3 linked regions of the Rhinolophus ferrumequinum genome follow. The protein of the gene in region 1 interacts with the protein of each later gene in a pairwise test. Links are inferred from orthologs where the notes say so. Each region holds a gene or a part of one and is shown in the gene's direction. Other genes may lie near its edges.

Region 1 (7,585 bases):
CTTCAGAATACAGGTTTGCAGTTTCTTCCAAGCTGAACATAGTTTTTACCATACGATTCAACAATTACATTCCTAGGCATTTACCCAACTGATTTGAAAACTTGTGTCTACACAAAACCTTGTATGTGAATGTTTATACAAGACCTGACAATTAAGTTCACGAACTTGTTGTAAGTGTTGCTAACCTTTTTTTTTATATCAGAGGGATTATTTATTATGAATTTGTACCAACTGGACAAACAGTTAACCAAAGTTATTATTTGGAAGTGTTGAAAAGGCTGCGTGAAAAAGCTAGATGACCTGAACTTTTTGCCAACAGTTCATGGCTCTTGCATCACGACAATGCACCAGCTCACACGGCACTGTCTGTGAGGGAGTTTTTAGCCAGCAAACGAATAACTGTATTGGAACACCCTCCCTACTCACCTGATATGGCCCCCAATGACCTCTTTCTTTACCCGAAGATAAAGGAAATGTTGAAAGGAAGATATTTTGATGACATTCAGGACATCAAGTGTGTTACAGCCACAGCTCTGATGGCCATTCCAGAGAAAGAGTTCCAAAATTGCTTTGAAGGGTGGACTAGGCACTGGTGTTAGTGCATAGCTTCCCAAGGGGAGTACTTAGAAGGTGACAGTAGTGATATTCAGCAATGAGGTATGCAGCACTTTTTCTAGGATGAGTTTGCAAACTTAGTTTTCTGACCTCGTTGTAGATTTATTTATAACTACCCCAAACTGTAAGCAACCAAGATGTCTTTTAATAGGTGACTGGATAGATAAATGATGGTACATCCATACAGTGGAATGCTATTCAGTGATTGAAAAAAAAGCTATCAAGACACAGAAACACATGGATGAACCTTAAATTCATATTGCTCAGTAAAAGAAGCCAGTCTATAAAGGCTACATACTGTATGATCCCAATTATATGACATTCTAGAAAAAGTAAAACTACGGAAACAGTAAAAAGAGCAGTGATGGCCAATTGTTTGAGGGAAAGTAGGAAGGTTGAATAGGTGAAACATGGGATATTTCAGGGTGGTGAAACTATTTGTTGTGATATTCTACTGGTGGATACACAACATTGGCATTTGTCAAAACCTATAGAAGTATACAGCACCAAAGTGAACCTTAATGTTTGCAACATTTAAAAAAATTCTATAGGAGGTGTGGGGATTCAAGAATGAAATGCAGAACAACACAAAAGAATGTGTTTCAAATGTAGGAAACAACTTCATTGAAGGGGGTGGGGGAAAAGGTGCTGACATAAGTAATTTTGGAAATGAGTGAAGTCTGTAAGACTAAAATAAAACTATATATAAGCACTGTAATTTAATTGATAAACTTGAGCTGAATAATTAAACGGATGGAGGACTGTGGGAGCCTGGTTTCTCATTGCTGGAATGGGAATTTACAGATAGGCAAGAGGAGGCTAGAATGATCTATGTGGCAATAGAATGGGTAATATCAGTATGAACTCATGTATCTTAGTATAGATACAGACGGTCAAACAGAAATGTGTACACACATGGGTTGGAATATAAACATATTCATCTTTGTCAGTTAAGGGGCCTAGAAGGAATAACACTCCAGTAGCACTGAGCACAGTTTGCGTATCTTAGTTTCTAATACCATTCTCCAAGAAAAGGCACCAGAGCTTTTTGGAGAAATGATTGATTCTAGAACTGAGACAGGAAATACACAAGATGTGTCTGGAGCATCTTGTCACGCCAGACAGTAAGGAAGTGCTAAAACAAAATTAAACCCTATAATGATGAGGGCCAACCGAAAGAGCTCCCAATGGCCAGAGGTGGAACAATTTGAATAAGAAAATAAAATAGCATTGGATTTTAACCAAAAGTGTAAAATAAATATCCACGAGTCCATATTGATAAATAAATAATTGCATAACTAAATAAATGGGGGATAAGAGACAAATTTCCTATGCAGAAAAATTTGAAATAATTGATGTAGATACTCCATGCTGAAGAAGGTGCAACATAAACCCCTACTCCTTACATGTTAGAGTCACATAGTGACTTTCTTCCAAAGACTACAGTATGGAAAGGGAGGGAAAAAAAGAGCAACTTTACAGTGCAGAAACCTGACAAGTACGACCTCAGCCAGGTAATCAAGATTAACATCCTCAATGATAATCATGAGAAAAATCCTAACTCAGGTGCATTCTACAAAAATACCTGACCAATCATCCTTAAAATTGCAAAGGTCATCAAAACAAGAAAAGTTTGAGCAACTGTCGAAGGCCTGAGGAGCCTAAGGAGAGATGATGACTAAGTGTAATGTGATTAACTGGGTGGGATACTGGAACAGGAAAAGGACATTAGGTAAAAAAGGCTAAGGAAATTTAAATAAAGCACAGTCAAATCTGGGACAATTTGAGAAAATAAATATTGTTAATGTATTATCCCTCCGAATAAAAATATGAATCTATTGAATAAAACAAATCATGAGTCCAGACTGATATAAAATGAATAATTTGAAAGTTTGATGAGGAATTTGCATAGCTTTAAGAACTGACCCCCAAAATACTTGTTAATTACAAAGGGAAAAGGAGTAACTTTGCAGTGAAGTTTGGCAGACAACACTTTATTGAAATGTTCAGAGTTAGCATCACTGGAAATGGAACAAATGGAAATTGTGTGTTACTTGATAGGACGCAATGAGAATAGTCACACTTCTTAATAGTTCTGCTCGAAATGCCTAACCTGAGTCCAACCACAAAGAAACCTCAGGCAAACCCACGTTGAGTGTCATTCTATAACATCTGTCCTGGAATCTTCATGACTCTTTTATAGTGAGTTGTGTTCACGTGACCTATTTCTGGTTCACAAGATTTAAATGGAAGAAACTGGACTAGGCTTTAGGAAAAGTCATAAATTTTCTTAAAAAGGGGTAGACTAAGCTGGCATACACTTTTTGCCCTTTGTTCTACCCTTTTATTCTTACATCTTATAGATGCTATGCATAGATATGGAGGAATGCAATGCATTCCTTGTGATTGTGAAGAACTTAAGTCACAGATTAAGTGTTACAAAGCAGAAAAGGAGAAACAACCTGATTTCTTCAGCAATTTCACCATAGCTTCATGCTCTGTACTACATTTTCCCTTGTTTAATTAAATCATGGATGTCTAGTATCAGATGTGGCCAAATGCAAACTAATCAAAACAACTTCCTTTTCCCTTGTTTTTCTATATCAACCTATCTACTTCCCCTTCCTGATCCCAACATTTTTTTTGTTGGTCGTTTTATTGGTCTTGCCCTGTATTTACAAATTCACTTATGGACATCTGTTTTATGATGTTGAGCCTTCTTGAAGCACATGATATACCTTTTCATTTGTTCTAGTCTTCTTTTGTGCCTCAAGTAGGATTTAAAAGTTTTTGTCATAATTTTGCATGTTTCTACTATAAATACTATTTGTTCTTATTTGCCACATAATTGATGTGGGGTGGGGGAGACGTTTTTCCCCAAAAGAATCTGAAAAGACTTTTAATGTTATTTTAGTTAGTAATAAAAAAAATCAGTCAAGGTATAATTAAGGGGTTAAATATTTCAAGGTCAATTTGTAAATTAAAATTCACTTTTCTGTAACAAAAATACAATGTGTATATTCTATTTTACATATCAAACAAGTAAACATTACATGCTCAAGGTCAAGATTTTTACAGATTGGTAAAGCAGAAACTCCTGGGAAAGCTTCGTGCAAACACAAATTTAAGTTTACAAAACCTGGAAAGAAAGCATATTTATTTAATCTGGTTTATACTATTTTTAATGTCTTTAAGGTATCTAGTTTATATTTACTCTCCGGCCTTCTTTATCTTTGATTATAAGTGTGAATTCAGTGTGTTGTATTCTCAAAACCCTTGAACAGTACTTCAGAATGTCTTCATGGAACTTAAAGTTTGGAAGATACAAACATAAAACAATAAAAATCACACAAATAGGTAATTGCACACTGTCATGAAAAATGATTGGATGGATCTGAGCAAATAATACGAGATTAAATAAAAATGTAACATTTATTAACAGCTTAAATAAGTACCGATAAATTATGGAGTACAGTACAACACTCACATGACTGTTTCATATACTGGGAAAAAAAATCCACCAAAGCAAACCACCGAATCTTCAAAGCAATTTTGCCCTTCCGACTACCTTTCCGGCCAGCCTCCCGTCAGTTCATTCCTCCAGCACAGGGAAATTCTTTGGTTAGAAGGGCCCTTTGGTGGAAAACTTTTGAGATGTACGAACTTAACCTGTATGAGCTTCTAACTTACTCCGGGGATTTTAAGAGGAAATAGCTGAGAATGCTATTATCGTGCAAAGCGCATAATAAATGTATAGCGACATTAATCCTGCTCAGGGCGATCCCAATATACGAAGAAGGACAACTCCTCACTTTAATCTTCAAGTCTCTAAAACCTGGCGTTGGAGTAACCACAGGAACCAGATCCGCGCATGCTCTCTTGGTGGAACTGCGCCGGTTCTCTCCCTAGTCGGAAGTCCGGTTTGTTTATTAATTACGACAGTCGTAAACTAAGACTTCGTGATGGTTTCCTACTTTTACGACATCAACAACTATGGCGGCTGCCAGTGGTCGGTTTGAAAGTGAGAGGAGTATCCAAGAGCGTAAAGAGCAGACACGGATAGCCAGGGCCGAGGTGTTGCGCCAGGTAACTCCGTTTTGGGGTTTTGGGAACCATTTAGAATTGTGGCTGTTTCCTGGGAGCTAGGCCTCTGGCTCTCCTTCCTCCCTACCCCTTTTCTTCTCTCTCCATCAGTATCTCACCTTATCTGGGTCGAAACGGGGGGGGCGGTCTCCCTGTGGGATGCCTGCAAATTTTTGAGTATCTTCTCCCTCTTAGATGCTCTGGCAGGCTCCAATTGCTCATTTTCTTTTCAGGAAGACCTGTTTCTTTCCTCTGAGTTTCATTAACTTTTTACATAATGCGTTGACATTTCTATCACCTGGGCTGCGCACTTTCGAGGGACTACGCAACTAATGAGTCTCCCCAGCGTATGTCCCAGCCCCAGCCCTTACTCCTGCTGTTTGTGAAATGAAAATGTTCGTTTTCAGGAACACATGTAAGGCGCATTGGAGTAAATTGCGTTTGACCGTTTCATTCTCCTTTTGTACTATGGGTATCAGTTCCTGGCTTATTGTAAACCCTTACCGACCCAAACAAGGGTTGACACAACAGACCCAGGAAATTGCACCCCTTGAAAAAGACTGACAAACTATTTCTCATTAAGATTGAGATGCAGAGAGGTAACTTATAAAGAATGGAGGAAGTAAACTATGGAATTATCTGACAAAATGTAGGAAGTGTGGCAATGAAGGGAAAAATGAAGCAGAGAGCATCATAAAGTGTAAGTGAGAGTTTTTGTTTTTATTTGTTTTAAGATGGAAGAGTTTAAACGAGTTTAAATGCAGATGGGAAGTAGCAGGTAAAGGAGACAGGAAGGAGAAGATGTAATGACTACAGCCAGATTTTAAAGGGGAAGAGCGAGTGGGTGATTAATCTTAGACAGGTGAAAGGTCAGTATTGTTTTTTGATTTCAGCATATGAAACATATGTGTAACAAATATTTTTTATTTTTGTCTCTCTGATATTTCAGGCAGTGTTTGGAGGCAGTAGGTTTTGTAAGCTGTGATAAATTTTATAATAGAGATAAGCATAGAGTTTGAGAAGGACCAAGCCCAGCTTTCGAGTTTGGGAAGAGAATGAAAAAGCAGGAACAACCTTTTAGGAAGAACTTTATTTGAATATTGTTGAAGGATGAATAAAAATTCGCAATATGATCATTTTGTTTTTAGAAAGATGATTTTTCCTGAAGCATTTTTGGGGAGTGAGTAGAGAGTTATGGGCATTGCTGATGGAATGTATGGGGTATGGTGGTCATTCTCCTAACAATTAAAAATGTCTCAGGCGGTAGCACTGGGATGGTGAAGGGAAAAGAGTTTCAAGTCATACTTGAGATTGGAATCTTAAGGAAAGGGGAGGGTCTAGAATAGGTCCCAAGATTCTGTCCTTGATTGGTGGCTCTATTCACTAGAGATTCGTAATGGGCAAGGAGAGGGTCTTTTGTTTGTTTTTTTGTATTTTTGAAAATCTTTCCTACACTTTGGTAGAAGCGTAGGAAAAAATTACTGGTAAGAGACAGACTGTTGATTCATGAGAACATGTATGAAAGTGGGAGATTTTGTTTTACTTTTTTGTGAAACGCAGTTGGATCAATTGTTAATTTTTCTTTTTTCAATATTTTAGGCTAAAGCTAATTTTGAAAAGGAAGAAAGACGTAAAGAACTTAAACGACTTCGAGGTGAGGATACATGGATGTTACCTGATGTGAATGAGCGGATTGAACAATTCTCACAGGTGAATACTGTCAGGTCTACTTGATGTAAACACGTCGGACTGTTTCTGCATTTAATCTTGCAAGTTAATCTTGGAGGAGCAACTTTATAGACGGTTTTCAAGTTACAGAATGAATATCACATAGTGGGCATTACAGAATAGTTTTATCTCTTTGGCAGAAATAATATATTTTAATATTTTGGATATTGTGACTTTGGGTAGATTTTGTTACTTGAGTTGGCTGGTAGAGTTTCTGGCCCACTTGTAAGCTTATGGGTCTAAAAATGTATGCGTTTCAAGCTTAATGTCATGTGGGTTTTTCGTTTTTCTTCTTGTCTCAATTCTTGTTTTCTCTTTCCGTAATTTTAATTTATGCTATCTTGTTATATTTTAAATGTCCCAATAATCTTCTATAAATTCTTTTGGGGCCATAGAAGATATATACATATAAATGCATACACACATAAGTTTGTGTATATATGTTTTTATTTGATTATATCTGTTTGTCAAGTGAATCTACAAATAAATGAAAACTTCCCTCATATTTTTGGATAAGATATCTCAGCTCTATGATTTATTAGTAGTGCGTGTATTATAGAAGCATGTTAAGTTTTCTTAGAAGATTTTGTTCATGTAGTCATATTTCTTGTCTTAATTCATAAAAAAATTAAATATTTTTGGAACAGATTTTTTTTCTCTTAACATATTTCCTTTTAAAGTAAGATAAAACTAAATTCCTTTCTTAGTTTTGAAGAAGGTAATTCTTACCTCTTCAAAATGATTATTTATAGGAAAACTCTATGAAGAAAAAGAAGAAAAAAGACAAGCGTTCAAAAAAAGTAAAGAAAGAGAAGAAAAAAAAGAATAAGAAACAGAAGCATGAAAAAAACGAGTCAACTGATAGTTCATCAGTACGTATGTACTAAAACTAATCAAAGCACCTACTTGAGAAAATTTTATTTAAAGAAATAGTGTATGAGAACTTAAAAAATATTACCAGTTAGGATATGAAAAAGCTTGGGAGACATTTACTTGGAGATGTCAAGGAAATATTGGAAATAAGAATCTTAGGTTACAGAGAAAGGTAAGAAGATGGAGACGAAATTTGGGAATCATTGCTTATTAGAATAAGTGAATTGCCTCAGGAAACTGAAAAGAAAGATAAACACCAACACTGAGGAGCCAGACAGGAAGTAAA
Region 2 (7,984 bases), on another chromosome or scaffold:
GTGTTGAAGGAGAGGGTATAAGTACCTGAGTGAGATGTCAGATGTCCCACTGAACAGGGCTGAGAATGGAGGGTTTGCACCTTTGGAAAATGTGCTCTGCAAAATACCTAGACTTCTAATCTTTAGATAGAAATAAAACACACATTTCCCTCCTCCCCCAGTGGAGCAGCCTTTTTACTAAACAGACTGAACTAGCAAATCTATGACTGTACCCTTATCAACCCTGAGGGGTATCAGCAGAGCAAAGCCCTCAGTGCAGGGAAGCGACGCAGAGAGTGGGTGCCAGGGCCTGTGAAGACTGAGGTCTTGAATATGGGTGCCGCCTGAGAGGAGGGGAGGTGGAGTCTGGGGACAGCAGTCGTGCAGGCAGCAAGTTGCTTTAGGTGCAACGGTGACCTTGAATCTCACAACTGTTGTTACTCAAATACGGGCAAGGTAGCAATGTTTGGACCTTATGTTGCATCTCCCCTCCCCCCCCCCCCCCCGGCTTGTTTCTAGCAGTTTCTACATGTAAAGAAATTGGATTAAGCTGCAGAATGGATTTGTTGATTTAGTCCAGAGGCACTTGATATACTAGTGTGTCATTTTCTGTTTTAGTTTATCAAGAAATGCACTCAGAGATAAGAACCCTTAGGGAGAGCAGCCTCGGGGAGTGAAATGAAATCAGAGTTGGAGTGGAGTCCTGTGGTGTGGCCCCAGGTCTGCCTTCCGCTCTGGGGCAGTCACTTTGCCTCTCTGGCCCTGGGGAGTGAAGGACCATCATTCCTCCACCATGCGTTTTTTTTTTTTTAAAGATTTTATTGGGGAAGGGGAACAGGACTTTATTGAGGGAACAGTGTGTACTCCAGGACTTTTTTTCCAAGTCGAGTTGTTGTCCTTTCAATCTTAGTTGTGGAGGGCGCAGCTCAGCTCCAGTTACTGTTGTTAGTTGCAGGGGGCGCAGCCCACCATCCCTTGTGGGAGTCGAACCGGCAACCTTGTGGTTGAGAGGACGCGCTCCAACCAACTGAGCCATCTGGGAGCTTAGTGGCAGCTCAGCTCAAGGGGCCGTGTTCAATCTTAGTTGCAGGGGGGCAGGGCCCACCATCCCTTGTGGGACTCCAGGAATTGAACTGGCAACCTTGTGGTTGAGAGCCCACTGGCCCATGTGGGAATCGAACCAGCAGCCTTCGGAGTTAGGAGCATGGAACTCTAACCGCCTGAGCCACCAGGCCGGCTCCCACCATGTATTTTTGTAGGATGTATAGAAAGTGGGAAAAGATCCGTGTCCACATATTTGCACATTAGCTCTTTTCCTTGGTCCTGACTTTATTACTTTGTTCCATGTATTTTTGTGGGAAGATTCAGGGTGTAAATAAATAATGCACTCACCATTCCTTCCTTAGAGGCCAGCGCTCCTGTTGGCTTTGTGCTTGGGGTAGATCTTCTTCACATATCACCCCTGGAAGGAGCAACGTTTTTGTGCCCTGCTAATGTGACTGACCCGGGAACCTTCCAGAGAATCCAAGAACTGCTTCCTGGTGGGAGAGCAGATGTGATTCTGAGTGACATGGCACCCAATGCCACAGGGATCCGGGGCCTTGATCACGACAGGATCATTGGCCTGTGCTTGTCCCTCCTGGACATGGTCCCAGACATCCTGCTCCCTGGGGGAACACTCCTTTGTAAAACCTGGGCTGGAAGTCAGAGCCATCGCTTACAGAGGAGACTGACAGAGGAATTCCAGAACACGAGGACTGTGAAACCAGAGGCCAGCAGGAAAGAATCATCAGAGGTATACCTCTTGGCCACACAATACCGGAGAGCAAAGGGGTCTGTGAAGAACTGAGGTTTCTTCTGCCATTTCTGGTCCTTTTCGCTGCATATGTAGGCTGTGCGCTTTCCTGAAATGTGGCAAATGTGGGGTGGGGCGAGGTCCGAGCTAGATCTGGGATGCAGCAGGCAGGATAAGTGGGGGACCTTTTGGAAAACAAAAACATAGGACAGACTATATTCAGTGGCCATGACAGACGATAAAAAACAGACTGAGGGAAGGATAAAAATGATTGTGCTGAGGCAGAGCTGAAGATAGACATGAACACCTTCACGTTACTTGCTCATCTTACAGACTTAGCTAATTACAGAGAAGCAGGTTTCCACCATTGCTCTGAGAGCACAACACAGGTTTCCAGTTGTTGTTTGGCTATACAGTATTATGCGGAAAAACCTGAAATTTCAATCTGGGGATTAATTTCCATCTCTCTAGTGAATGATCTGGAAACACATCAGTTTGTTAAGCAGCAAGAATTCCCAGAGCAATTAGGGCAGACATTCGGTATGAATTTATGCGTGGGGCGGGTGCGCTTTCATTTTTGCTGGAAATACACGTTGCTGTACTACTCCAGGCTCCCTAGACAGTAAAAGTAATTGCCAAAGCAAGCAGCGATGTGGTGTTGATTTATTTTCTTTTACTCTTCCAGGAACTCTGTACAGCTTCATAAAAGAATATAGATTGTATTATCTTAAGGGATTTCCATGCTTTTAGTTTTTTTTTTTTAATTTCTGGTTTCTTCATAGCCGTTTCCTGGAGGTGTGCTCATCCCTCTAGTAGAGTTTATCAACTATGATGCTGATTGAATCCCAAGGAGCAGTGGGGGAAAGGATGCCCAGGAGTTTCCATCAGGGTCCCAGCTTGGTCCAGCTGCCTGGCTGCAGGCAGCAGTTTTTTTGTTTTTCATTTTCGATTGCAGCCAGCTACTTAAGTCCAGGGAACACTGTTCTACCAGCACCACAAGCTCTCCCCATCCCATTGATTCCGGCCACACAAATTTGTTTTGTCTTCTGGAAGAAGGGAATTCAGTGAAGACGCTGGGCACGTAGTCCGTAGCCCGGGATGGGCAGGAGGAGGGGATGGAATTCAAAAACCGGGCGGGATACGTGCTCCCGGACAGACCGAGGTTGCAGTCATTCCAGGAGGGGCCACTGGCCGTCGGCTGCCTGTGCCCCGGACAAAGGGGACCTAGACGGGAGCCCGCGCCTCGACGTGGGAGGGCAGTCTAGGAGCATAGCAGTTTGCTTTTCCCAGTGGTTCCAGATACAAGTGAAAGAACGCATTCATTCAAGTAAATACTGTGCTAGCAAGATTTTGGGACTAGCCAAGCCTGGACAAAAGTTTGGCCCTACGAGGACCCTGGGCGGTGCTATTCTACAGAATACGGCGCGAGGCAGCCGCCCTACTGGAAGCCTGTCCTGCGTGGAGCTGGGGCAGCCCGCTGGCCCCGTGGGCCGGCCCTGGGTTCCGAGCCCTCTCGGACCCGGGTTCCCCGGCGGCGCGCGGATCTGGGAGCCTCCGCGGAGCCTGCAGGACCGGCCGGTGCGCAGCCCCGGAGCATTACGGCCAGCCGCGCCCAGGTCTCGCGAGAGCTCAGCCTCACGTCTCGCGGTGCGCGGGAACGCGAGGAGAGGAGGGAGATCCGAGCGGCGACGGCGGCCGCGCGCTGACGGGGCCGGTGAGGTGAGGCGAGGCGAGGCGAGGCGAGGTGAGGGGCCGGGCCCGGGTGGGCGCCCGGGAGCCGGGCGGGGCCGCGCCGGGGGTGGGCGTTGTGGTGCGGGGCGGCCCCGAGCGCCGGGACCGGCGCTGGGCTGCGGGCCGAGGTCAGGCTGGGCGCCGCCCCCTGCGCCCTCGCCCCGGCCGGGTCCGGAGCCGGCGCCCCGTCGGCGTCCCCGCCGCCCCGCGTCTGCCGTCCGCGCCCTCGGCCTGTGCCCGTGCGGCCTTCCCGCTCCGTCGTCCCGAGCCCCGCTTCTCTCGGCGTCCCTGCGGCCCCCGGGCTTCCTCTGCGGGAAGGAGCAGCCGGCGTGGCCGGTGTCGGCGGGGCCGGAGAGGGCGCGGGGCAGGCAGCCACGGTCGGGGGCTCAGCTGCCGGGGCCGAGGCGGCCGGCGGCCTCCCGGAGCCGCGCTTCCCGGGAGAGCCGCGCCGCAGCCTCCCCTGCGCGTCCTCCGGGCCGGGCGGCCTCCTGCCCGTGCCCGTGGAGGGCGGGGAGTCACCCGCCCCGCGCCCGCGCCCCGGCGGAGCGGCAGCTTGCGCGTCGTCCGAGGCAGAGGCCGCTGGCGCGAGCGGGGGACGTGTCGGGCGGCGCAGGGCCCGGCCGTGGGGTGGCGGGGCCTGCGGGGAGCAGGTGAGATGCAGTGGTGGGGGGGCCGGAAGGTCGGAGGCTCGGGGTCCCGAGGACCGAGTGGGAGCTGCCGCCTTAGCCCGAGCCGCGGCGGTTGACAGCGTGCGCGGTTCACCCCAGTGCTGCCTGCGCGGCTCTCACGGGATGGCGCGTCGTGCGGAGAGGACAGACTGGCCGCATTTCGTCCCCTCTGCGCGGGAAGCGTGGCCCTGGCCTAATGGGGCTCCCGGCCGGCCGGAGTGTGGGCTCCGCGGGGCACGGCTCTGCCGCCCGCCCGCGCCGGGCAGGCCTGCCCCTGCGGGCGCCCGCACTCGGACGGCCCCCGTGCCCCCTGTTGCGGTCGTTCTCCGCTGTGGTAGGAAGAGCGGTGGAGAGAACAGGTGCGATGTGCAGGGAGGAGGCGCGGGCGCTGCGTGCCAGGCCAGGCGCTCGTGAAATGGGAAATTCAGAATCAAACTGACATGCCTCACCTGTCTTTTTTGGGAGGGAGGTGTTTTCCACGGAATACTCGGGGAATCAGAGCCAGCTTTTCCGGAGAGAAAAAAAGTCATCACCTGTAGGAATTCACACCTTTGGGCTGTGCCTGGGAGCCCCCCTCCTCCATCAGGCAGGGCTGTGGACAGGCTGGTGTGAGGCCATCATAAGCTCAGGTTTGGGGGTGCAGGTCGTTTGCTGGTGCTTGTCCTCAGCCCTCTACGCGTTGGCTGTGGAGCACACTCCACCTTTGGAGCCACAGACCCAGGTTCCAAACTCAGTTCTGGAACGTTTCGAAGCCTTGTGTTATATCATCTCTAAAATACGTGCAAAAAGACCTAATTCGTCCACCTGTGGTGAAGATTGAGCTGTCGTATGTCAGACTACAAGCAGAATGACAGTCAAACGGTGTCAATAGTTGCACCGTCTGCCACTTGAAGACTTCCTACAGACACTGTAATCTTCACAACTACTTGCAAACGTGGGTTTCATGACCTCAGTTACAGATGAGGAAACAGGCTTGAGGAGTCTTGCTGCCCTGTACGTGTCAGACACCTTTTTATTGGTAAACGGGTGAAAATAGCAGTAATTTATTAACGTCATTGTTAGCAGCTAGTTAGCATTGCTGTGCTCACCATCAGCCTTATTGCCAGTGTTGGGCGCGTTGTTTCCGAGTCCCAGAAGCTAGCTTTTTGTGAGTGCTTAGTGGGAGATGTACCGCCTGACTGCTGACCACCGTCTCCTGGGAGCTGTCTGTCTGTCCTGCTGGTGTGCAGGTCATCACTGACAGTCAGTGGCGTGGCGGGTTGCCTTTTTATGCCTCCATTTCCTCTGGCACATCAGCAGTGTGGGCTCCCAGATAACCCTGAAGAATGTGCTTACGGACACTGGACTGTTTTAAAGGCTCTGAGAGAGCGTTGGGGCGGGGGGTGTCTCTGGGCCGCTGGCAGAGCTGAAGTTGTACAGAAAGGCTTGCTGTGACCTCTCCCTTCTCTTCTTCCACAAGGGACGTGGCCATGGAAGACCTGGGGGAAAACACCACTGTCCTGTCCTCCCTGAGATCTTTGAACAACTTCATTTCCCAGCGAGTGGAAGGAGGAGTTGGACTGGATGTTTCCACCTCTGCCCAAGGTTCTCTGCAGATGCAGTACCAGCAGAGTATCCAGGTGAGTGCCGTGTGTCGGGGTGGGGGCTCTGGACGAAGATACCTGTCCTCAGGGGGGGGCCTGTTCAAGTTCTGTGTGGTGCAGGTGAGTGCCGTGTGTCGGTATAGGGTTCTCTAAATGTTGGCACTGGGGTCTCATAAGTAAAGATGCTTACCCTTAGGTAGGACCTGTTCAAGTTCCACATAGTTTAGGTGAGTGCCACGTGCTGTAATAGGGGCCTCTCGGTAAAGAGTCCTGACCTTAGATAGGCTGGTTCAAGTTCCATTCACGGCAGGTCCTCGAATAATGTCGTTTTGTGGTGACATTGATGAAATGTCGCAGGAACTTTTGTTTATATCAATTAGCTTGTGGTAAAGCTGGTTTCATTACATGTCATTTTGCTCAGTCTCAGAACCTGTGGATGACACGCAGTGAGGACTTCCTGTAGCTGAGGCGGGCCAGTGTTTCCTCAGCCTGGAGGCCAGCTGGCTGTTCCCCAGATCTCTAATGTGGGGATTCACAGTTTGGGAAGGTAGTTGGAAGCCGTTGTCTGGCCCTGAACTGTCCCACTTAAAAGTCTGGTGTATCAGCACCCAGAGTGGGTCTGGTGCTCGGTGTGGCAGTCACATTCATGAGCTCAGACGCTAACGATAGGATCGGAAGCCGCTTCATTCATTTAATTGGGGGAAACCCAGACTGCCTGAGAGCACGAGCACTGATTTTCCAGCCAGCTGCTGGTTCCCCTGAAGGGGTAACACATGGGAAGGCTGTGTTGTAAACACCGGTCCTTGGTCAGCCTGGCGGGAAAGCCATGGCCGTGAGCGAAGGACTGGGTATGTCATGGTCTCAGACTGTGGGGGCCATTTGCAGATCTTGGCTTCCATCTGCCATGGGGTGATTTTTACAGTTTTACTCTGCCATGATTTTTACAGTTTTACTCTGATTCTAGTTTTATTTCACTTTGTTCCAAGTTCTTGGCAGTGCTCAGTGTAGACACAGTTGTAAGGGGTCAGGTCTCCTGAACCACTTCCAGTTCTAGAGAGTTGTGGTCAGTTCCAGTGCGGCAAGGCTCACTGGGTCCGTGCAGGGCTGGGGTGGGGTCTGCAGCCTTGCCAAGGACCGCTGTGTAGGCGGCCCTGATGTCTCTGCTGTGGTCCTCCTTTTCTGTCCACGCCACGTGTGCTGCTGGAGCCTTTCTAGCTGGTGTCCTCTGTCGGACATGGCTTCCTGTTGCTCTGGGAGCCCCGACAAGGCCCAGGCAGAGTGAAAGCCGGTGTGTTTGTACGCATCTGTAGCATGGAATTACCGTATGTTTGTTAGTGAACTAAGTTGCTTACCGTCGTTTTTTGGCCAGGACTGGTCTTTATTCTGAAATTTGCTCTTTTACTTTTGCTTTTGGTGTTAAAAAGCTTTTCTGTGAAATGATAGTGGTAATAGATTGTAGTTTTCTTTGGATCCTTGCTCACTGGTCCAAAAAAGTTATAATTTTATTGATGCAAATGCCTGGGAACGTTTGGCCTGTCTGTTAGCACTACAGAATCTAGAATTTTGGAGGTCCCAGTTCTCACTCAGCTAGTAGTGCTCTAAGGCTCCCCCAGGGAGGGGGTCAGTGAATGAGTGGCAGAGCCAGAGTGAACTGGTCAGTCAGGCTGCCCAAGTATGTGCCCCAGGACCCTGACCTGTCCCAGGACCTTGGTCAGTGGCTCTGGCCTTCTTCTTGTGCCTTCCCCAACTGGCAGGTGAGGGAACTGAGAAGCTGCAGGTCTGCGGAGCCTGGAGGCAGAGGTCAGTATTTCTTGCCCACCAGGCCTCTCCCCTTCCCATTTTTTAAGGTTCCTCTTTCCGTTTGATGGTGTTTATGGTCTGCTCTGCTACACATCAGTGTTTGTGCAAATACACAAATAATGTTTCAGTTATTTTCCTTCAAATACAGTCAGAACATGGCCCATGAATCACCGGCTGTGTGTGTGGGACTCCTGGTCCCTTTGCAGCGGTGCCCCCTAGAGCTGAAGTCCTAGCTGCAGACATAGTGAGACGAGGAAGGCCGTTGAGTTTGATGGAGTGTAGAGCTAGGAACCTCCACCAAATGTCACCAGGTGGGCATTGAAATGAGCAAGTATCGGAGGGTAAAGGAAGTGTGGACTCGGACCCGCAGTGAATGTGGGGGAGGGGGTGGAGAAAATGCCTCTTCTCTGACCGGGATTTCTCACCCT
Region 3 (7,351 bases), on another chromosome or scaffold:
CTTCCTCCACACTACTCCTAAATGCAGATCTGAATATGTCACTCCCATGTTACAAAGTCTTTATGGTTCTACAGTATCTCCTGTGATGAAGCCCAGGGTCCTTACTATGATCTGAAAGGTAGATGTAAAGACACAACTATAGCAATGTTATTCAAAGTTTGTTACCAATCTGCAATGAAACAATTTCAGAAATTAAGTGTAAGCATTTAGAAACTTTTATAGCAATTTGACAGAAAAGTTTTATATTTATTGAATCTAATAAAAATGGGGATTTTATTTCATTTTTCTACTAACTCACTTTTTGTGTATTTTATAGACGTAGTGGACAATAGATGGGGATTTCTTAAATTGGTCCTTTACTATAGTTTGAGAAGCCCTAGTCTATAATATCCTTAATGGCCTCGTACACCTCCCTGGGCTCCTTTTTAAGTACCACCACCACCCATCCAGCAATAATTAACAATTTCTAGTTTCTCAAACATATTGTTTCATACTTCCAGGTAAGTTTACATTCTGCTCTCTCTGACTTGACTGTGGCTTCCTTCTGGAAATCTGTTCAGACTTCAGAATCCCAGGCTGCATCATCTCCTTTAGATGTCTGTCAAAACCTGTCCCTCACAACTCCAGGCAGAATAGATCACTGGCTTCCTATACTTATGGCACCGTTTGTACCCCGTATTATTGCATTACATTGTAGTTGTTTATCCGTCTATCATCTCCCCTACGAGTCTATGCGCTCCTTAAAGGCAGTTCCTTTGTCTTTTTGAGGCACAGTGAAGCACCTCCTCAAAGATGCCTAAATTGAAGGATAACACTCCTTAGACTATAATTCTAATATGTTACTGAAAAAGGAAAAAAGGATCATTACTTTATATTTTTCTATTATCAGCAAAGATTTCAGCCTTCTACCTTTAACACCTGGGCATGAATTAATTTACCAGAATAGTGGACATTTTAGAAGGTCAAGGAACCAGACTTGTGAGACTTGCTGGAAACTTTAAGAAGGATGGAGACATGGAAAACAAATGTCTCCACTTAAACAGTTTTGCCCACGTTCAGCTCCTTTTGGAGTAAAATCTATGTCAATTGCCCTTTTCAGAGTTGCTCGGGCCTAGAAATAGCATCATCAACCCGTTTGTTTCAGAGGGCCCACCAGATACCCGAGCTACCCCGCAGAGGTCTTGGGCTATGGGTGAAACAAGCAACTATAAGTGAGTGTACACAGAGCCATGAGGCCACTGAGGGATGGGAGCAATTCTGCCCAGAGGGAGTACAGGAAGGAGAGGGTCCAAGAAGGTGACATTTGAGCCAGACCTTGCAAAGTAAGTTGGATTCAGCCTGGTGAAAAATTGGGCGGGGTGAGGGGATGCGGGTTAGACGTGCAATCTGCTAATTAAAATGTACACATCCCTGGGAATGAGAGTCCGCCAGGTTCGGGATTTCCTCACTCCTCTTTCACCCAATTTCTTCACCGTCTTTTCCCCTTTTCTTGGAAAATTGGGACTGAGGATACTGTTTCCCATCCTGGACTCTTCCACTATAGACAATAAATTAGTCAATTATTTATTAATAAATTATTCATTGACAATAAATCATTTCATTAAAGGGGATCCGTAGCTCTGCGTGCCTATGAGAACTCTGAGGTGGGGGGAGCAGATAAGTCAAGTAGGGAAGTGGTCCTGGGCCACCCTGGAGAAAATGGAGCCCACGCAGAAAACGAGAAGAAATGAAGATCTTTGTCCCACCCACTTTTTGTCATCTTCCACACACACACCACCCCTTATCTTTATGTTTTTCTATAGTTTCTCATAGTCTCAGCCTCTCTGTCTCTGTGTCTCTCCTTTTGCTAAAGACTGGAAATTCCTTGTTCTCAACGGAAGGGAGTAGGAGGGAAGATGGGGGTGGTAGAAGTGGGAGGGAAGCAAAGAACAGACATCTCAGCAGCCCTGGCTGCGGGGGTGCTCTGGGCTTTTGGTGGGGCTTGACAAGTCAATGATTTTTTAAATGTATACATTTTAAAATCCACACATAGGGGCTCACATACAAACCTAGACAGAGGCACAGATACACAGTGGATGTAAAGAAACACATACAAATAAATACATAGTCTCTGGCTACAGAAGTACGAACTGGCTATAATATCTTAAATTTGCTTAGCATTTTACAATGTATTTACAGAGTTTTCACATACGTCCTCTCATTTGAACCTCCTGACAACCCTGAGAAACAAAGATAGAAACGCCCAGGAGTTTCACACACAGGTTCCTACGCCGACAGACACCTAGGGGAGATGGCAGGTTCTGTCGGCGGGATTTTTCTCCCCTCTTCGGCCGAGTACCCGCCCCAGGACAGAGGAGTGAAAGCCTCTGAATTGGCTCCTCCCTCGTCTTCTTTCCTGGGGTGGGACCTAGGCGCCCGGCGCCCAGTGGGTAACTGCCCTCTTCCTCAGTCCAGCGTCTCCCTCAGGATACGGGGGCTCAGCACCGCCCCAAGAGGGCCAAGTGGGAGGGAGGGGGGCGCCTCAGCAGAGGCTGCGTGGGCGGAGGATGTGCGTCACGGGGAGCGTGGGCAGGGGGAGGGAGGAGGCACGTGGAAACCCGCGGCCAGCGACTGGCAGCCCAGACTCCAAAATAACCAGAGGGGGATGGGGGAAGGGCGCCCACACAGAACACAGGGGGTCGGAGAGTACCCCCCCAAGGAGCCTGTCTAGCCGTGCCCCCCAGTCGCGGGATAGGGGATAGGGAGGGACTCAGCTTTGTCCTATCACCCCACACTGGGTTGGGGCTTAATGGGGCGGGAAAGAGAATTTTAGCTACTGAAATCCCTCCAGTGATGTACCCCTCCTCTTCTGCCCCCAGCGGAGACCGAAAGGTCCCCTCGCCAGGCCGGAATGTAGAACCAGCCTCCGCACACGCCGCCCACGCCCTGCCGGGCCCGGGCCACTCAGAACTGCGGAATGATGGGGCGGAGTTGAGGCTTCAGACCGAGGGAACCTTGCCTCTGGCCAGTCTGTTCGCTTCCAGTCTCCCTCCCCCTTCCCCCAGCCATCGTTTCCTCTGGGCCTAGAGCCGCAGGGCCAGGCCCTCAGAACCCCCGCCTGTCCCCAACCCAGTCCTCCCAGCCGTGGGCGGGAGTGTAATGGGAACCAGATGGGGCTAGAAGAAACAAAGGGGGGAGGGATGGTGGGTTGTGGAAGGGGCTAGGATCCTTGAAGGAGCTCCTCCCTCCAGCTCCTCCGTAGGGAGCCGCGCCATCGGCTCCCGGCCTCCTGCCCAGCCTCCACTAGACTCTCCACTAGACTCTCGAGCGAAGTTCCCTAATAGACGTCCCCCCAGAAGGGGTATTCTCCATATCCCAGCTTTGCCACACAGGATTCCCCAGGACCAGGTTCCCATCCTCGGCAAATAGGGTACGAATAGTAGACGAAGGCGGGGTATCCCTCCCCTCCCTGCCTGACCTATGCGCTAACAAAACCCTACGCGTCTAATGAACGCGTCTAAGTGGTAGGTTCTAGCATAACCCGCCCATTCCTGTTCCCCGAACTTCAGCTTGAACTAGAGGCAGGGATGGGGAAGGCCTGGGTTTCCCAAAGTGGTCTCTTCAAATTACTCCTTTCCTGGCCGGAGAAGAGCGCTGGGATACCTAAGAGATTCCTGCAAAGCCCCAATCGCACAGAACTGCCACAAATGCACACACTATGGGAATCAGATGCATGCACGAGAGGAGCCGCGCACCCTGAAACTCCGCCAACTTTGCTCGGCTCACCCCTAACATTCACACGTCCACCACCGCGAGTCCTGAGTGTGGGCAGTGGGCGTCCGCGTAGTTGTTTAGGCGCGTGTGTACGTCCGTGCGTTTCTCTGTGTCTTTGTGTACCTGTGCGTGGTTGAGAAACTCCGCTCTCCGCGCGGAGGGGGGAGGAATGTCGCCTCCTGGGTGCTCACGTGGGTAAGTGGGCGAGAAGAGGGCCGGCTGTGCATCCGGCGTGGGTGGCATGGAGCGACCTCACCCCTCCCGCTAGGTCCCCAAACCCGCCTTCCCTATCCCGGCCTCGGTCACCCTAGTCCCACCTCGGCGCCCCGGCTCCGAATCCCCGCCCCCGCCTCCTGCTGTACACCCCCTCCCCCCCAGTCTCCGCCTCTCCTCTCCGTCGCGGTGTCTCCGAGGCCCTCGGAGAGGCCCGGGCGCCCGCCCCCCGCCCCCGGCCTCCGCCCCCATCTCTACCCACGCCCTCCGCCCGCCCAGCAGCCAGCACCGCGCGGGGCCTCGCTCCCCGTGCGTCCTGCGGGGGCGGAGGCGCGGAGAGGCGGCAAGCGCAACCGGGGAGTGGGGGGGCAGAGGCACAGACAGAGTCGCGGAGGCTTGGAGAGAGGAGACGTGGAGGGAGGGACGGAGCCCGGACCGCGGCGGACACGGCCTCGCGCGCCGGGAAGAGCGCAGCGCGCACCAGGCGCCGAGCGCCGGGCATCAAGAGTGGTAGCCCCGGTGGTCTCCGGCCGTCCATGCACAGAGCGCCCTCCCCCACAGCCGAGCAGCCGCCTGGCGGAGGGGACAGCGCCCGCCGGACTCCGCAGCCCAGACTCAAGTTAGTGGGCAAAGGGAAGCGGCGGGGAGTGGAGATGGGTGGAGCTGGACTCGGAAAGGGGTCCGGAGGGCGGAGGTCGCTGAGAGGACGAGGGGAAGCGGGACGGAGGTGGGGGGTGGAGACTGATGGAAAAGGGGGTGAGTCTTCAAATTAGGGGGCTCTGGGAGCAGGCAGGAGATTTGATGAAGCTGGATGTGAAAGAACAGTATCTAATTCATCCCCCGTTTACTCTATGGGCATGACCTGGCATGTGAGCCCCCTGCAAAGAACGTGGGGGCCCCCAAGCGCCAGGGGAAGCCTTGGAACTCTAGCTGGTAGCATTGTCGGGGGAGGGCCGCTCCGCTGGCTCAGCCTGTCTTTGGCATGGGGCACGCGAGCCCAGGGATCCGGCAGAAGCCGGCGCTTTTGATCCAAGAGAGTATCAACGGGGCTGTGGAGAAGCAGGGGATACCCTAGGCGTCCTTTCGGATTTTCTGTACCTTTATTTACAGTGTGGGGAGGGGAGTTTCGGCGTGCAGCCCCTCCCTCACGAGGACTTGAGCCGCTCCCCCACTCCACTTGAGATGTGGGTGGAAAATAAGGGAGAGGGTAGGCGGGAGCCCCCCGGCGGTTTTCGCCTGCAGACGCTACCACTGTAGGAGTTTGTGTGGGCGGAACAGGCCCAGAGAAGAACAATTGAGGCACTCCTCCCCTCCCCCCTGCCTGAGTTGAAGGGACAGGCCTACCTACAGAGCAGTTGGGGAAGGTCACTGCTGCGAGAGGGGCTAGAGGGGGAAGGGGTGGCACTGAGCAGAGGGGAGGTCCTGGAAGGAGAGAGCAAGAGTGTGCTAAGAATGCCTAACTGGTGGAAAAAGCTGAGGGTAGCGAGGAGAGCAGAGGTCCACCGGGCTCACAGAATGGGAAAGGACAGCTAAGGGGCCACACCCCTCTCAGGCACATGGGCAGGATGCCACTAGGGAGTGAAGCTGGCCAGCAATGGTCCAAGGTATCCCCTATGGGGAGGATGGGAAGGGGGTGTCCTACATTCACCTCAGTGTGAGATATCACCAAGTAATGGGCAGACCTACTGGTATTTAGAATGGAAGGTGAGGACCATGTTCTGGAGAAGAACTAGCCATCCTGGGGTGTGCTGACTCGCCTCAGTGCTCAAGGTCTCCTTGCCCAGGCCAGAAAGGTAAAAGCTGTGGATAGAGGCTAAGAGACTTTGACTTCTGCAGAGACTGGGCTGGCTTTTGGTACTTCTGGTCAGTTGGGATGGCACTGGCGTGTCTGTGCCTCTGAACAGTGCCTGATTCTCATAGTCTGGGCACTGGGCAGAAAGGGCATTCAAAAGAGAGGAAGAGGAGCAGGCAGGAAAGAAGACAATTGTGAGTGTGGGTTGGTACCCAGTAGGAGGACTGACTGCCCCCCTCTATCTCTTGTGCTCCTCCTCCTCAGGCCTAGTGCCCGAGCCATGGCACTTCCTCGGACACTGGGGGAGCTGCAGCTGTACCGGGTCCTGCAGCGCGCCAATCTTCTTTCCTACTATGAGACCTTCATCCAGCAGGGAGGGGACGACGTGCAGCAACTGTGCGAGGCGGGTGAGGAGGAGTTCCTGGAAATCATGGCACTTGTGGGCATGGCCACCAAGCCCCTCCATGTCCGACGCCTGCAGAAGGCACTGAGAGAGTGGGCCACCAATCCAGGGCTCTTCAGTCAGCCAGTGCCTGCTGTGCCAGTCTCCAGTATTCCGCTCTTCAAGATATCAGAGACTGCAGGCACCCGGAAAGGGAGCATGAGCAATGGGCATGGCAGCCCAGGGGAAAAGGCGGGCAGTGCTCGCAGTTTTAGCCCAAAGAGCCCCCTTGAACTTGGAGAGAAGCTGTCACCACTGCCTGGGGGACCTGGGACTGGGGATGCCCGAATCTGGCCAGGCCGGAGCACTCCAGAGTCTGATGTTGGGGTGGGAGGAGAAGAGGAGGCTGGCTCACCCTCCTTCTCCCCACCTGCAGCAGGAGGAGTCCCTGAGGGGAACGGGGCTGGGGGTTTGGCAGCAACTGGGTCTGGGAGTGGTCCGGATAGACTGGAGCCAGAGATGGTCCGCATGGTGGTGGAGAGTGTGGAGAGAATCTTCCGGAGCTTCCCAAGGGGGGATTCTGGGGAGGTGACTTCCCTTCTGAAGCTGAACAAGAAGCTGGCGCGGAGTGTGGGTCATATCTTTGAGATGGATGATAACGACAGCCAGAAGGAGGAGGAGATCCGCAAATACAGCATTATCTATGGCCGCTTTGACTCTAAGCGGCGGGAGGGCAAGCAGCTCAGCCTGCATGAGGTGAGGACCCCAGCCTCCCAGGATTGCTCTTGGCTGCCAGGCCTCAACCTACTCACCTCTGAGAATCTGCACACTCCCAAGTCTGTTTCATTACCCCTTGACCAGGACCCCCGCCCCTGACCCCTTCTCTCCCACTCCAACCCCAGCTCTTGCAATGCTTTCCTCCTCAAGTGAGGGGAAGCAGAGCCTACCTGTCCTATCTGCTCAGGACCACACAAGAGTGAAGGAGGCTCCAGGCCCCTAAAAAGCTGTGGGTGCTGACCTCTGTCTTCCTCAGAAATCGGCATAGTGTCAAAACCCAAGCAAGCATCTGACGGGTGGGCCTCATTTGTCTGATGGTGAAGGATTGTGAGGACATCTGGACAGGCAGTGGGGAGTTAGGATTCTGACTGCTCTGGCGGTTTTGTCCACAGCTGACCATCAATGAGGCTGCTGCCCAGTTCTGCATGAGGGAC

The links. The genes of interacting proteins can lie anywhere in the genome.
Region 2: the proteins of CWF19L2 (region 1) and MAD1L1 interact in binary tests that used the Homo sapiens proteins (3 or more experiments, as listed by UniProt). The two-hybrid records come from large-scale screens. The link is inferred for Rhinolophus ferrumequinum from reciprocal best matches to the Homo sapiens genes CWF19L2 and MAD1L1.
Region 3: the proteins of CWF19L2 (region 1) and NAB2 interact in binary tests that used the Homo sapiens proteins (3 or more experiments, as listed by UniProt). The two-hybrid records come from large-scale screens. The link is inferred for Rhinolophus ferrumequinum from reciprocal best matches to the Homo sapiens genes CWF19L2 and NAB2.

The regions. Positions count from the first base shown.
Region 1 is NC_046294.1:76,275,376-76,282,960, reverse strand, and holds the start of CWF19L2 (CWF19-like protein 2), read left to right. Parts: upstream 1-4,578; 5' UTR 4,579-4,608; coding exon 4,609-4,701; intron 4,702-6,297; coding exon 6,298-6,408; intron 6,409-7,178; coding exon 7,179-7,298; intron 7,299-7,585.
Region 2 is NC_046307.1:43,474,490-43,482,473, forward strand, and holds the start of MAD1L1 (mitotic spindle assembly checkpoint protein MAD1), read left to right. Parts: upstream 1-4,976; 5' UTR 4,977-5,116; coding exon 5,117-5,166; intron 5,167-5,632; coding exon 5,633-5,792; intron 5,793-7,984. Other genes in the region: MRM2 (rRNA methyltransferase 2, mitochondrial), read left to right, coding at 1,386-1,828. UniProt on the Homo sapiens protein: Component of the spindle-assembly checkpoint that prevents the onset of anaphase until all chromosomes are properly aligned at the metaphase plate.
Region 3 is NC_046293.1:56,142,382-56,149,732, forward strand, and holds the start of NAB2 (NGFI-A-binding protein 2), read left to right. Parts: upstream 1-4,343; 5' UTR 4,344-4,502; coding exon 4,503-4,585; intron 4,586-6,022; coding exon 6,023-6,896; intron 6,897-7,309; coding exon 7,310-7,351. UniProt on the Homo sapiens protein: Acts as a transcriptional repressor for zinc finger transcription factors EGR1 and EGR2. Isoform 2 lacks repression ability.